Linked DNA regions of Arabidopsis thaliana. The protein of the gene in region 3 interacts with the protein of the main gene of each other region in a pairwise test. Each region holds a gene or a part of one and is shown on either strand. Other genes may lie near its edges.

What was found. The genes of interacting proteins can lie anywhere in the genome.
Region 1: the proteins of REP (region 3) and RABA1f interact in a two-hybrid assay, tested with the Arabidopsis thaliana proteins (one large-scale study listed by BioGRID).
Region 2: the proteins of REP (region 3) and RABA1d interact in a two-hybrid assay, tested with the Arabidopsis thaliana proteins (one large-scale study listed by BioGRID).

The regions. Positions count from the first base shown.
Region 1 is NC_003076.8:24,482,131-24,486,429, reverse strand, and holds RABA1f (RAB GTPase homolog A1F), read right to left. Parts: upstream 1,933-4,299; 5' UTR 1,681-1,932; coding exon 1,460-1,680; intron 1,298-1,459; coding exon 865-1,297; 3' UTR 725-864; downstream 1-724. Other genes in the region: RUG3 (Regulator of chromosome condensation (RCC1) family protein), read left to right, coding at 4-132, 215-370, 431-642. UniProt on the Arabidopsis thaliana protein: Intracellular vesicle trafficking and protein transport.
Region 2 is NC_003075.7:10,319,138-10,324,092, forward strand, and holds RABA1d (RAB GTPase homolog A1D), read right to left. Parts: upstream 2,437-4,955; 5' UTR 2,203-2,436; coding exon 1,982-2,202; intron 1,443-1,981; coding exon 1,019-1,442; 3' UTR 725-1,018; downstream 1-724. Other genes in the region: NRAMP5 (NRAMP metal ion transporter family protein), read right to left, coding at 1-523; AT4G18810 (NAD(P)-binding Rossmann-fold superfamily protein), read right to left, coding at 3,126-3,224, 3,491-3,631, 3,731-3,811, 3,890-4,003, 4,090-4,213, 4,294-4,409, 4,487-4,582, 4,665-4,823 and 1 more.
Region 3 is NC_003074.8:2,034,095-2,040,285, forward strand, and holds REP (Rab escort protein), read right to left. Parts: upstream 3,698-6,191; 5' UTR 3,569-3,697; coding exon 2,853-3,568; intron 2,733-2,852; coding exon 2,610-2,732; intron 2,495-2,609; coding exon 2,395-2,494; intron 2,310-2,394; coding exon 2,271-2,309; intron 2,187-2,270; coding exon 1,934-2,186; intron 1,833-1,933; coding exon 1,757-1,832; intron 1,651-1,756; coding exon 1,458-1,650; intron 1,374-1,457; coding exon 1,290-1,373; intron 1,215-1,289; coding exon 1,107-1,214; 3' UTR 819-1,106; downstream 1-818. Other genes in the region: AT3G06545 (uncharacterized protein), read left to right, coding at 4,218-4,716, 4,807-4,883; RWA2 (O-acetyltransferase family protein), read right to left, coding at 5,314-5,547, 5,638-5,734, 5,870-5,926, 6,011-6,073, 6,161-6,191. UniProt on the Arabidopsis thaliana protein: Substrate-binding subunit of the Rab geranylgeranyltransferase (GGTase) complex. Binds unprenylated Rab proteins and presents the substrate peptide to the catalytic component composed of the alpha subunit RGTA and the beta subunit RGTB.

The sequences.
Region 1 (4,299 bases), on a different chromosome or scaffold from region 3:
CAGCAAATTCCAATTATGAACTCGGACGCGGTGATAACTTGGGAGGTTGGGAACCAATGCCGGTTCCCAGTTTAGAAGGGGTTCGTATTACCCAGATTGCGTGCGGTGGATATCATTCTCTTGCCTTAACCGGTAAACAATCTTCTCCCAACTGAACAATTTTTCTTGTCGGTCTCTACTAAGTTGACTTGAAAATTGCTTGATGTGAAAACAGAGGAAGGTAAAGTACTCTCATGGGGCCACGGTGGCCACGGCCAGTTGGGTAGTTCCTCGCTGCGAAACCAGAAAGTTCCTACTGAAATCGAAGCATTAGCTGACAAAAAGATAGTCTTCATCGCTAGTGGAGGTTCCTCTTCTGCAGCGATAACAGGTATATTTAGCTATAGATATGTTCATTTGACATGATAAATAACTCAAACAAAACCAAAAGGATGGGATTGGTTTTTGACAGATGGGGGTGAACTCTGGATGTGGGGAAACGCTAAAGATTTCCAGCTAGGAGTTCCAGGTCTCCCTGAGATCCAAACTACTCCGGTCGAAGTCAATTTCTTAACCGAAGAAGATGAGTGTCAACCACACAAGGTTATCTCAATTTCCATTGGTGCTTCTCATGCTCTGTGTTTAGTCTCAAGATCACCTTAAGTAACACTTGGATAGGCGGTACCGTTCCTTAGAAACGCAGAACATTATGGTTCAGCTCAAAGGTTGTTTGGGATATACATTTGATATGGAAACGCAGTGGTATTCAATATGGTTTAAGGTGTGTGATTATACAAATAAATGAACAAGATCTTCACATATAACAACAAAAAAGAAATGAACAAGATCGACCGTGAGACCGATTCTTGAAAGTCGAACGTACCATCAATTTGAGCAGCAACCAACCTTTTTCACCGCAGAGACATCGTCTTTCGATCCGACATTGATGGTCTGTCCTTTGGGAAGAGCAGCCGGGTCGTCTCCTATATCCAACGCTTTCCGGCTAACCACACGGTAAATCTGAGAAAGTACTTCAGTGAAAGCATTCTCGACGTTCATCGATTCGAGAGCTGATGTCTCCATGAAGAAAGTGTTCTCTCTCTCAGCGAAAGCCTTAGCGTCTTCAGTCGAAACAGCTCGTAGGTGACGGAGATCCGCTTTGTTCCCAACGAACATGATGACGATATTGGCATCTGTATGATCTCGAAGCTCCTTTAACCATCTTTCAACGTTCTCAAACGTCACATGTCTTGTGACATCGTACACAAGCAACGCTCCTACAGCTCCTCTGTAATATGCACTTGTGATTGCTCGATATCTTCAAAACCAAAAATCAATCACGATTACGTAGATCATTCAATAATCAAGCTAATGTATCAGGAATCAATGTATGTTTCTTCAGATTCAATCGAAAACGAAAATTTCTCAAAATTGAAATCGAGGCATACATATATATATATATATATATATATATATATACCTTTCTTGGCCAGCGGTATCCCAAATCTGAGCTTTGACGATCTTATCATCGACATGGATGCTACGAGTGGCGAATTCTACACCGATCGTGGATTTAGATTCGAGACTGAACTCGTTGCGCGTGAATCGAGAAAGGAGGTTGGATTTTCCAACGCCGGAGTCTCCAATTAACACAACTTTGAAGAGGTAATCGTACTCGTCGTCGGCTCTATATGCGGCCATTGTGAGGTTCTCTGATTAGAGAATCTCTCCTCGGAAAATTTTATGGATCTGAGATTTCTAGAAATTTAGCGCGTATCGATCAACCAATGAGAAGAAGAACAAAAAAAGAAGAGAGAGTTTCAAATTTCCAGGGGAAAGACAAAAATGTTAAAAAATAAATCAAGGAGATCCGGATCCGACTTAATTTCGGGTCTGGGTTGTTATCCAGGTCCTTATTTGGGTCCGGGAAACGGTTTTACATTTTTACCGGGTTAGTGATTCTGATTTGAATTTTTTCTTTTGTTAAAGTTTTTCACTTTTCTTAACGTATACTTTTTCACCTTAGTCTTATATCGGTAGGTGTAAGTTATTTTATTGACGTTAATTACCCCGAAATAATTTATAAGATTCCCAAAAGACAAAAAATAGTTGTAAACTAAATAAGAATGAGTTTATACTTGAAGATGGAGATGGATCAGATGGTGTAATGAAATGTGTTGTGTATCATCTTCTTCATATATTTTTTTGTGTAAAGACGATACTGTTGATCATTACAATCATAAAGTTCAGTAACTTCAGTAAAATTCTTTGATTTTTATTTTGCTAGTTCTATCCATTTTTATGGGATTTGTGTTGTTAAGTTAAGAGAGATTAGACTCTGTTACATACAAATAGTAATGCGAAATACGGTTAGGACGAGTTCCGATCGAACCATGCCTTCGATTCAAAGACTAAGAATGGACCACTTACCAAGTCTTTCAATACAGCTGTTTCATTGTAATCCCAGCTCAGCAACCTACTATACCTAAATACAAGTTTGAGCTAATCAATTATAATGTTACCTTGATAATCCACAATACAAAATTTGTATGTTAAAAGTGATTCTTTGCAAATGTTAAATCTCTAAATTTGTCTATAACTTATCTTTTCTACGATCGCATCACCATTTCATTTAGTTGTCATTTCAGCTAATGTAAACTTGATAATGCACAATTGAACAATTTACATACGTACTAATTGAGACTTTCTTTTCAATATTCATTTTAAGTTTTAGTATTTTCTATTGCCATGTTACACATATGTGACATTAATCCCACCGACGTCAACCGTTCCAACTTTCAAGTTTCAATTTCTTCATTAATTGTCATTGTCTCATGATACTTGGAGTTCTCTGAGTTCATTGTCAACTGATGGTGACTTAATCTTCAACTTCGACATTTACTAAAGAGATTCCTACACTAATCTTTTCTATCTTAGCAGGTGATCACTTCAGCCATGTGTTGGTTTCGGATCGGCTCTTTGGAGCTTAGATTTAGATATCGACGTCCATTGATACGTATGGCTTTCAATGTGAGATTAAAAATAGGTTTTGTTGGTGGAACCATTTTTCAACAGTTTTCCCCAAATTCTATACGCATATTCAACATAAAAAACACTTTGACCAGTGGTCATTCAGACATAATTCACGTGTCGAGAACGTATTACATCATAACATGCATGAAACCAAGTCGCACCATCACAATGGTTCCATCAACATGGCTTAGATTAGGATCTTTGAAAGTAAATGTGTTTGATACGAAGTTAATTATGATTTATGATTTAGGAGAATCTGAAAAGTGCTAATGATCATTTGAATTCTTCCGCACTTCTTTAGAATCTCTAAACCATCCTACAAGATTTTAAGAGTTCTAGAAGATTCTACAAAATAGCCAAAGAAAAAATGTTAAAAATGGCGAAGTGTAAAGAGTCTTGCTATCGAAAAAATCTATTAAAACGTTCAAACCTATCACTCTTAGGGCCATCATTATAGATATAGGACTAAACCCGCATTTGAATAAAAATGTCCATGAACTACTTCTAGCTAATTTGTCAAACAATTGAGTCGATCGATGAAAAAAAAAACAGAAAATACAAGTAAGAAATCATGAAATAATAAAAGGAAAAATGATTAGGGGAACATGGTGGAGTCATACACCAACCCACAGACAATCCCAAACTCTCCCAACCGCCCAACCAAACTTTCCCGTGTATGATTTGTATGAGATTTTATAACTTATGCACATGTCCTAATGGACCTACTCCCCTCTCAAGTGTTTTCCCTACAATGACCACCACCTACCTAATCTGGACCCCTCTCCATCATCACCATTGATTCCTAGTGTCACCAATCCAATCCAACGACCAATACGAGCAGTGAGTTTTCTTTGATCCAACGGCCCACAATCAGAGAATCCGTACTCGTTCTCTCTCGGCTAGATAGATCTTTGAAATCGTCTACGAGCGATTGGTGTTAGAGTAAACGACGAACCGACTTCGATATTATAAGTACGTCAGCCATAGACGTTACGACACGTGAAGTGGGACACATCTTAAGCCACGTGGAATACATGTCGCGCATGAGACTCGTCACTAACACGTGGGTCCTCTGCGCAAATCGCTCGTCTATTCTTGCTTTGCACTGTTTTTACGCGACGGCACGGCTCTCTCGTTTTCCGTACAATTCCCTCTGAATCTTTTCTAATTCGCCACTAACATATCTCAAGCCTATCATCAACAAACCTAAGATTACTCTTTCGAGTTATCTTAATTTATCGTTAATACAAATTAACTAATGCTATAATAGTATATCATTAGTTTTAA
Region 2 (4,955 bases), on a different chromosome or scaffold from region 3:
AAATCTGAAGAGCGATCGCGCTTCCGATGACTTCTTGAATATCAGCTCCGATCAAAGCAACCTCCGCCATGAACCAAAGCAAGATTCGCGCCCACGAAGGATACTCACTTCGACAAATCTCCGCTAAATGTCGACCCGTGGCGACACCGATACGAGCAGAGAGAAGCTGCATCAGAAGTCCCATTAGCGTCGCCCATAGAAGAAGCCATAGGAGAGAGTAACCAGCCACAGCTCCGGCTTGTAAATCTCCTTCGATATTTCCTGGATCTAGAAACGCGATGCTCATGAGAAATCCAGGTCCGGTGAATTTCCATAGCTTTGCCCATGAGAATGGCGGAACTGAATCGTAGGTTTTGTCTCTGTCTTCTTCTACGTTCAGGATCTGATTCTCCGGTGGCGATTCGTGAAGCTCGTCCTCCTCTGGCTGAGAGGTTTCGGGAACTAATAGACGTTTGAATTCGCCGTTACTGTCGTTTGGTCTCTTAGGGCTGTTTTCTTGGCGGGAAACGGTGGATCCCGTCATCTTAGTAACGGAATATTCTTTCGGCGTTACTGACGACGTGATTTGTTTTAAGAAAATTTTAAAAGATTACATGGATTATTTTGATAAAATTAAAATTAAAGTCAAGAATAGTCAAATGAGAAAACAAAAGCAAATTCTAAAAATGAACTGTTATTAAAAGTTTCTATTATTAGAAACTGAATTGTGATCTCTATTTTTTTGACGAAAATTTTCTAAATTGGTATAACAAAAATTAGTTGTGTTCAAGGATTAGCACAATAAATATTGGTTTAGAGATATTTGCGGATTGAATTAAAAACAAACCATAGACCAGAACCGGTTAAATTACAAAATCCCTTAACCGGTACAGAATCAGACCAAAGCTAAGCAATTTTCAAACAAGCAAATCAAAAGGCATAACATAGTTTGTTTTCCTAAAAAAAAGCAAACATCTTCAAAAACAAAATTTGAATGTAAAATTTAAAAACCGATTTCAGCTTTAGGACATAAGACCATTTAGTTGGAGCAGCAACCAGTTTTCTTCACTGCGGAAACATCAACATCGATCTTCTCTCCTTTCGAAGGAACATTACCGGAATCTTCACCAGCCTCCATTGCTTTCTTGCTCACAACATGGTAAATCTGAGTGAGTACTTCAGAAAACGCGTTCTCAACATTGGTAGATTCAAGAGCTGAGGTTTCCATGAAGTAGAGTGATTCATTCTCTGCAAAAGATTTTGCATCTTCGGTTTGGACTGCTACAAGATGGCGAAGATCGGATTTGTTTCCCACAAGCATCACAACTATGTTTGGGTCAGTGTGGTCACGGAGTTCCCTTAGCCATCTCTCAACGTTTTCGAATGTTGAGTGTCGGGTTACGTCGTAAACAAGAAGCGCCCCAACAGCTCCTCGATAGTAAGCACTAGTGATTGCTCGGTATCTAAAAATAGCGAAAAGAGGAGAAACAAAAACCCGTTAACGACTTAGTCATTGAAACTCTGTTAAATTAGAAAGATAGGAACATAATAAGAACCGAAATGACAAGAAAGACTTCAAAGCAATAAGCTCTTCAGCTTCAATGGTAGAAAACGATCATTAAAGAAATCGATATCGTCATCAGAATTAACGAACATATAGAAACACCATGAACATATACGATACCGAAGATTATCATCAACCACTGGTTGATCAAACTAATCAGCAAAACAACAGAATTTCTACAAAGCTGGTAACTTTAAGCATAATTGTTGAGTTCTCTCATTATACACAAATACAATGTACACTTCACCTCCAGTAATTATATACACGATCACAGGTTAGGTTGATTTCTCAAGCTTTCTCTACGATAAACTGATTCCATTAACTAAGACAGATCTAATGAAATTGTATTGACTCCACAATGCATCAGAAGGCCAATACCTAAAACACAGATCGAGAAATGAACAAATGAAGACAAAATCAAAGAGACGGAGCTTAAACCTTTCTTGACCAGCAGTGTCCCAAATCTGGGCTTTGATGACTTTTTCATTAACATTCAAGCTACGAGTCGCGAACTCGACCCCGATCGTTGATTTAGACTCGAGACTAAACTCGTTCCTGGTGAATCGAGAAAGCAAATTGGACTTTCCAACACCTGAATCACCGATCAGAACCACCTTGAATAGGTAATCGTAATCATCATCTGCTCTGTAACCCGCCATTAACACTTCTCACTGAATCAAAAAAGCTTCACACTTTCAACGAATAAAGAAACGAAAATTGCTCTATGATCCCAGAAAATTGAACAAAACTTCGATTTTGCTTTTTTACTTTCTTCTTTATTCTCTTTAGATTCAAATATTTATTCCTCAGATTTCTACAGAAAGACACAGACTTTGAAAAAAGTTAGGGTAAGACTGGTGTCTTTCTAGCTGGACCATGATCACCGATAGATTCTGGGTGAAATATTTTGTATACATGTACTAAACTACCCCGGATTCACTCCCTAAGATCAGGGGTAGATCCGACATTTCGTTAAACTTTTGTATGTATATGTTACATGCTTTCATTTTCTTGAAAAGGTCAAAAAGTAGTGGTGGTGGTCATGTTACATTGGTAAACGGCGATATTTCAGTCACTCTCAATGATGATCTAACAAAAATGAAACATTTCTAGCTCTATCTTCTAGTTAGTGGATTCTGTATATACCCAATGGGTTTCAACACACACTAAAATGGAAGCCCATATGGGCTAATCACATAGTAGTTGTGTGTATTGTCTAAATTCTTTGAGGTTAGCAAAAACTCACATATCTGCTGCCATGTGAAAAGAGTTCAATGATTTGTGTATTATGTAATATGTAATCCAAAAACGCATCTGTACATTAAGAAAAGAAACAAAAAAAAGAGTGAAAAAGGAACATAGACAAATGTTCTGTGCTCCTCTCCACTCATCCTCCATTATTAGCCAAAAAATCCATTATTTTGTCATTACCATAAAAGTCTCCATCAACCCTTTTCCTCATGAAACCCTCCTATCAAAATTTAGATTCTTTACTTTTTCTTTTCTTTAAAAAATGTCTGAAACTCCACCTACATCTTCATCTTCTTCCTCTGTTTTAACTCAGAATGTTACAAAACCAGTTTCAGACAAACTTCTTCAGAAGTACATTGACGTGTCTGAGTTTCAGTTTGATTACCAGACAAGCGGTATCTGGTCTCCACCGTTTCAACGGACTGCTTTTCTTACACCACAAGGCAAAATTCTCACAGACAGAGAAATGGCAGAGAAATTTCAGAATCTTGTTGAAGAACCTCCACGGATCAAAAGGTACAATCTTTATTGTTGTCGTCAATAAGCTTTTGTAAATCTTATCTACAATGTACGATATATGGAGTATACAAACATGTTTCTACACGACTCTTTTGTTGTTGTTTTTACTTTTGGAAAGATTTTTAACGAAGATGAGACAACACACAGTTACAAAAGTAGATAAAACCTGGTTTAAACTGCAACAGTGCTCTGTTCTAAAGCTTCTTTACCGGTGATTCCATCTTTCAGAGTCTTGAAATACTCATTGTAGTCTTTCTCCGGTGGAGGATTCTCAGGATCTACCGTGAAAGGCTCGCTAAACGGAACCGTACTTTTAACCTGAAACAAACAAACAACACACAAAACAGCCCAATTCAGAAATTTAACTTTTTGAATAGCAACCCGGAAAAATCGAAAAATTGATGATTCTTTAAAAACCTCGAAGGTCTTGTTAAGAGCATACGGGCTTTCTAAAGCAGCGATGCATATACGCGCTACTTCGTCTCTTGATACCTTCCCCTATATAAAGGTAAAGTTGGTTAGGTTAGTTAACTTAAAGAGTTGTTGGATTTCAAGGAGAAGCGAAATTGAAAATACCGTAATGTTGTCTCCTTGTTCGAAAATGAGATCAGCTCCGGCAGGCTCTTCTGTTAAAGCACATGGCCGTACAATTGCAAATGGAATCCCGCTGTCGCGTATCAGATCCTCTCCCTAGTCATTCAAAAGTAAGAGCTTTAAAATCTTTTGAAAATGACTTTTCCAATTTTCTGCGAAGCAGAGAGTATAGAGAGACAAACCTTTAACTTGTAAGTGAGAATGAAATCAAGCTCTTTGTTTAATCTCACGGCCGGAGGTTGTTTGCTTAGATCCAAACCGGGTCTCTCTGGTCGAGTAACTCCCGCAGAGCCAACGTGAACAAACCTGTAACGATAAGTAACGAAATGCTAGTTCAGCATTTAGTGAAGAGTTTGGTTTCTAAAAAGCAAGAAACTAGATCAGACCTTGGAGTGACGGGGTCTTGGATATAAGCTCGAATGCTAGATAAAGGAAGCTCGAAAGGTCCTTCTTTGAATGTAGGGTTAAGCTTACCATCATACTCAAATTTGCTAAACATAAGCTGAAAAATAGCCAACTTATTAATCAAACATTTAGAATGGGAATTTTAAGAGGGTTAACACAAAAAGGAAAACAAACCTGTAGTGAAATGATACTGCTTGCATTAAAAGGTGGTGCATCTGTAACTGTACGTGCGCGAAATACAGGTCTTAAAGACGAGAAAGGTAAGCGTACCTATGATTTAAAGTAACAGAACTATAATTAATCTACCCACAAAAGTATATCGAAAATGAAAGACAAAAGTGATTTTACTTACAGATTGCCATTGGCCTGGTGAAGTGTCAAAACTGGCGGTGTAACCAACAGTATCCCAATCTTGGCTTGTTCGGACGATTAGCTTATAACGGAGTCCATCACCTTTTAGTCTTAGCTCTAGACCATCATATGCAGAGACATTCTCCGCCTCGGGAAAGTTCTAGAAGAAAAGTGTAAGACTCATGCTTCAGTGAGATAACGAAGGATAAAAAAGCTTGGAGAGATTCTGACATTTAGTCGTACCCTTTACCTTGGTTCGGACACTCGTAAATCCGCCATTATTTGTTGTGGA
Region 3 (6,191 bases):
TATATTCTCATGTAAATAAACTATAGTGGTTTGGGCTTTTGGTCTAATCCTTTTAGCTTTCATGCCTCTCTTCAAGTTGGGTTTGGTATCCCTTTATTGGGGTTGGGCCTTTTTAGTTTCAGTTTTAAAATTTTGTAATCATCTAGTTGGGCTTGACCTATTTTGTAATGTTCCATTTTATGATAAAAAGTCAATAGAAAGACCTTTAGGCAAAAAAAAAAAAAAAAAAACTAGTCGTGAACAATAAGTTATACAACAAATGAAATCTCGTCCCACGCGCTGCAAGTCTTTTCAATTTTAAATTTATGCAAAAATCCCCGAAAAGGAGGGTTATAGTCCACGGATTATAGTCTCACGCGCCGAAACGCGCCTGTGATGCGAGTGGTTTTGTATTTTAAATTCCTACACGCGTGTAGTTCTGTTTTAATCTTTAATTGATAGAATTATTTCGGGTCCAATTCCGACGCTAATTCAGACCCAATGGGCTTTAAATTCTGTCAAGTGTCAACCTTTGGGATTGGATAAACGATTGACGATTCTCTCCAGAGAATAACCAAACCCTCATAATTGGGCCTCATAATGAGAGCTTGGCACCACATTACATATGATAACATTAACCCAACGATCTCGAAAAAAGCATTCAAATTCTTAATCTTGACTTCAAAGTCAAATTTCCTAGTCGATAATGATATCTTCCTTGATTTTTTAAGTTTCTGGACTTGGCCATGAAAATCAGAATTGGAGTCGAAATATACGAAATCGGAAGTGTTTATTCAAAGAGAAACATAGAACGATTATGGTTGTGATCGGTAAAAGATGTCTGAATAAATTAATTTCTATACAAATTCATTATTTCTTTTTAGTCGTTGATTTAAAGTTTGTGGAGTTTCAATGGTTAGACAAGCGGTCGTGGATTAATCACTTCTTCTCAATCCTTTATTTCTTCCCTAATCATAGTTGCTCTCTAGTGAATAAGTAAAGAAAATGGCTCACCCTCCCTCTGCCAATCTTCCTGCTTCCCCTCTAATAACGGGGTAACTATATGTTACAATCAAATAAATAAATGGGTATTCTAAGTCTTTAAAACCAATGGTTTCATTCATCAATCAATCTTCTATTTCAACACCACCATCGTTTTCCTCCTCCGTTGTGTTCTCCGCCGGTGAGGTCTCTTCTTTAAATAATTCTTCACTCCCCATGAGCTTTTCATATAGCTACCAAATCCAATATGATAACATTATCAAAACCATAACTTAATGAGATAACTGCTGTAAGGAGCTTCTACTAACCTTCACGGCTGATTCCACTATCTCATTGTAGTTCAAGTTTCCATCTGGACTAGGCATGGAACTGATCGTACCTCCAAATTCACCCTGATCCAAATCAAACTTTTATTTAGTGAAAATGACATTACCAACGTCGAAATGAAAAGGTAAATTCCCAATCACATTTTCCACCTTGACTAGCTCTTGCACGTACAGTGCTCTCCAGAGTAGAATAGGTTTTGTCTCAGAAGTATCATTCTCAACAACGGAATCGCTTTGACGATTCTCGGGAACAGGCAAACTGATGAGATTACTCATGGCTGATAATAGCGCCTTTATCCCTTGGTCATCATTGTCGCACAAAGTTGAAAGATATAAAACATGCCTGCAGCAGCAAATATATATGGCTTAGAGAACAGTTAAAGCTAAGCAAATGGAAAGAAACAGAACTAAAATGGGAAAAGATCATCTTAGGCTAAACCACAACTTACATGTCAGCAGGACAAACCGCTAAACCACTACCAAGCTGCAGAACCCGAATTGCAGTTAGCTGTTCTGGAAACAAAGCTAAGAGGAAAAAACTATTAATGTTAGAACCTTCAAAACGCAAAAGACGATATACATGTAAGTGAAACAACTAACTAGTGGGTCTTCAAAAATTAGCTTACATTTAGGTGGATAAACGACAAGAGCGTTTGATACATTAGCTTTCACAGAACCTCTAATGACGCATACTCCTCTTGCAATTTTCTCCTTATTGATCATCGACTTTGGGACAAGAACACTGAGAGTTTCATTTTGCTGATCTGTCAATGACGACAGAGACTCTAATCCAACAGTAACACATGGATCCAGAATCAACTTTTGGCTGAATATCTCTTGACCAGAAGCTAATCTAACCCCTTTGTAACCCCCAGTTTCCTGCAAAAAGAGTTTAAAATAATCAAGTAAGAATCCTTTCCGTCAACTAAACTTATCTTATGCTACAACTGTCAGCTAACTTGCCTTGTCTAAAAGCAGAGCAGTAATAGGCATCCGGAGAACCTGTGAAAACAATGAAAGACTAAATAAGTAACAAATACCACAACAGCAACACAGTACACAATGCAGAAAATTGTTCCAAACGTACATAGATACATCCTTTGACAGCAGCCCGACGACAAAAGGCTTGTGGAAGTTCTCCTTGTCCATAAATTGGGTATATCAACGCCCCAAGTGCGTTAGAAAACCTAAGGTAGAGAATCAAAAGCTAAATTATACTCAATATAACCAATGATAATGTAAACCAATAAGAAAGATGATCACAAATGTGTAAGAGCCAGGAATGAGAAAATGATGAATGACCTGCCCATAGATGTGATGTATAGAGCCAATCGATCTATCCCCTCTTTGGTCTTGAGTAAATGTCTACAAGTTTCCGTATTGTCTTGATCATAATCTAGCATCGCAATGGCATACAAGATGATCCTACACAGAAGAAGAGGAAACAAAGCCTTACCTATCAACATTTCAGAGACAAAATTCTAAGAAGCATTAAGCAGAGACAAATGTCCAAAGAGCTGCCATTAACAGAGAAGGAGGTTATACGATTTGATTTTGGGTGGTAAACGCATCTTTGACAAGAAGTCCACAAATGGACTCTCCATATCTTCCTCCGATATCTTGACTGTTGTTGAATCATCTTTTTCGGTAGAAGAAGCCAAGTGACTTTGAACAAGCTTGAAGAATTTCATGAGCTGATTCTTCTCCAACAGAGTCAAGCTCTTGTCCTTGAATATAGCAGCTCTCGAATCCGGCACATTTCGTAGCTCACCGCTCGAATCCCCAACGAAGCTGGCATCGATGCTCTTGAACTCAACGTAGTTGTTAGCTCCTGATTTCAGCATGAGATTAATTGATTCATCGGCACAGAAGACAACCCTAGGACCAGCCAAGTCAACGTTGAATCTTCTAGAGTGTTCTTCGAGGATCTCCGATTCGAAGCTCGAAATCTCCACGGAGGAATACAAGGATCGGTTAACGAGATCCACGGAGATAAAATCATGGTTGTTTGACGGAGGGAGAGGAGGAGATGACGGCGACGGAGGAGGAGAAACGGAGTTTGAGTGAAGGAAAGAAGTGAGATCGGGAAGGGAAAGAGAGGCGAAGTGAGAGCCGTAGAAGGGGTTAGGGTCGAGGTGGAGAACAGAACTACCGGAGGAGGAAGCAGCGGCGGCTAAGACGGACTCAGAGACTCCGGTGCCGACGACAATGAGATCGTAGTTGGAAGGATCAAGCGGCGGGTAAGGAGGGATGTCGATCATGGTGGCTCGAACAGATTTGTGTATCAAAAGTCGAACCAACGTGACTTCAGTAGCTTGATCGATACACGAGCGTTGAATAATCTGGGAAGATGTTGAGATGAGTGAGGAGAATCGAGGAAGAGGTTCAAGAGAAGAAGAAGTTTCTTCTTACATTACATATACAAACGTAATGGGCCTAAGATGTAAATGAATAAAAGAGGTAAGTGTGAATCGGCCCAACATGGCCCATCTTCTTAATCAACGCATAGACTATAGGGTCTACTGTTTTTCTTATGTTAGAAACTTAAAATATGATTTTTTTTTTTATATAAACGGTTTAATTGAAGAAAATAGAGTTTATACTTTCTTCGTTCACTTTACTGGTCAGTGGTCCACTTATAATGTGATTTTTTGAACTATTTTCTTTGTTGAATATAAAAGAATTTTATATATCTTGAAAAAAAAAAGTGTTAGATAAAGATTGCGAAGATTTCTTTTGTTTGTTGTGATTATGAAAATCTTCTAACCACTTTTAACTAATAATAGAGATATACCACATTCTTCTGGATAAAAGCAGATTTAACTAACTAAATAAAAGAAATCGAAAAACGAATTCACGACGACTATTAAATCTCCGAAACCCCATAGTCCTAGTAAAAACACACACACGATGGAGAAGAAGATTAGTGATATGGATGTGTTTGTTTGCAGAGGAATATGGTATATAATGACTCTACTCTCACTTTTTGGCCTCTCCAAATCACTCAATCTTCTCTGGCCACCTGGAGATTCATCGTCTCAGTCCTTTAGGGACGGTGCGGTCAGTGTCACAACATTCTACGCAGTGACGCTACTCAGATATCTTTTTTTCACCGCTCCTCCTTCCGCTTGCTACAAGGAGTTTACTACAAAGTTGGAGAGAGTACCTCAGGTTTTGTTTTCGACATTTTCCGCAAATTTAGCGTTGGCATTGCCCTTAATATATGAGCTATTGACAAACAAAGAGTTTGAATTGTCCATGTCGTTATTCACCATCTCGTTGTTCACCGGAGGGTTAGGGCTGATTCAGCTATCGGATAAGTTTAGGATGGAGATCGGACATGCTTTGTACACGCTCTTCCTCGGTTGGTTATCTTGTCTCTTTAGCATGTCTAACAATCTATACCGGGGTGACTATAAGGTACTGTTATTGTTTTTAATATCAGTACCTCATTTTTTGCTTTCCTTTGGGCCCGCGTATAATTTCTCCAAATGGGAAGACTCGGACACTTTCTCTGCCTACCGAGCAATAGAGGACAAGCTTGACACACATGCTATGACTACACTTTCTATCTAAGTATATCAATGTTTCCTTACATTAAAGTAATGGCTTTTGCAAGTCCATCATATTTTACTTTGATGTAAGATTAATCTGGATTTTATAGCTATACAATTACTCATATGGATTTCCTTTAACTTGTAATAGACAATAATAAGTCTTAACATCATCGTGAACAGAAACACAAATAAACAAGAAAGAACACCTTATTCATAAATAAATATACAGAAAGATGACATTACAGCAACATTGTATGCATCTACCTCTGATTTCTATCTTCGTATATCTACCATATCGCGTAGTTCAACTCCTATGAATTCATTCGAATAGTCCACTCTGGTCCGGTTCAGAAGTGCTTCACACCTGTTTGTTTCCAGTGAAATAATAAAACGTGAGATGGTTCAATCGAATATGAGAGGATGACATTCGTCCTCGCTTTGTGTATGCACTAACATATCAATGAACTCAAGTACCAGGGAAAAAAAAGCTTTCTCCCACACAAAAAGATAAAATTTTGACTTACCAGTTTTTGGGGAATTGTGATAAGAATAAATGAGAAAAAGTAGAGACAAGTGCAGATTATGAGTGCTGAGATCGTGTTGTAGACAAGGCGTTTGTCGTCCTTGGTTGGTATGAAGGCTGTTTTCAAAGTGTTGGTAAGCTCAAAGAGCCTATAAGAGATCTGAAAACAGAGCAACAAAAAGCCAATCAGTTTGTTTGTATCTGTCTGGCTTTCAACTTGTTTCTATCTGTTGTAGCAGGGTTTGCTTACAGCGACGTAAATCGAAGTAGTGAGCATGAAGTTCAACAATGGGTAATCCGGGACAAGAGATAGTAGTAATTTGGGTTGACCATCAGGAACTCCAGATCTGTGGGTGAATTAGATTATTTCATAGTTCAATGGGTCAGGAAAAATCTTAATAGCTTATTGTATTAGCATGCTCCACCATCAATTTCCCACTTACTCTACAATTGAGAACTTGGGCAAGAAAAGTGTGACATACCTGAGCCATATATGAAACTGGGAGATATATGTCTCCAGTGTTATCTTTCCAAGCCACCTGAAAGTTCATGAACAAATTTTTCTTGAAAAAATCGTTATAAGAGGATAAACATATCTATTGACTGAATTATTTTTTACTTACGCCAGAAGGGTCAAACTGTAGCCGCGGAAAGACTGGGTGATGTTCCGGAGACAGATATAAACACTGAAAGAAAAGCAAAACGAGGTACACAAGTAAGGACTGGTTCTTAGAAGAGTGGTTGTATAGAGATTTGCAGGTAAAGTGGACTACGTTATTGGAATCCAAGAGGTGTAAGGATGAT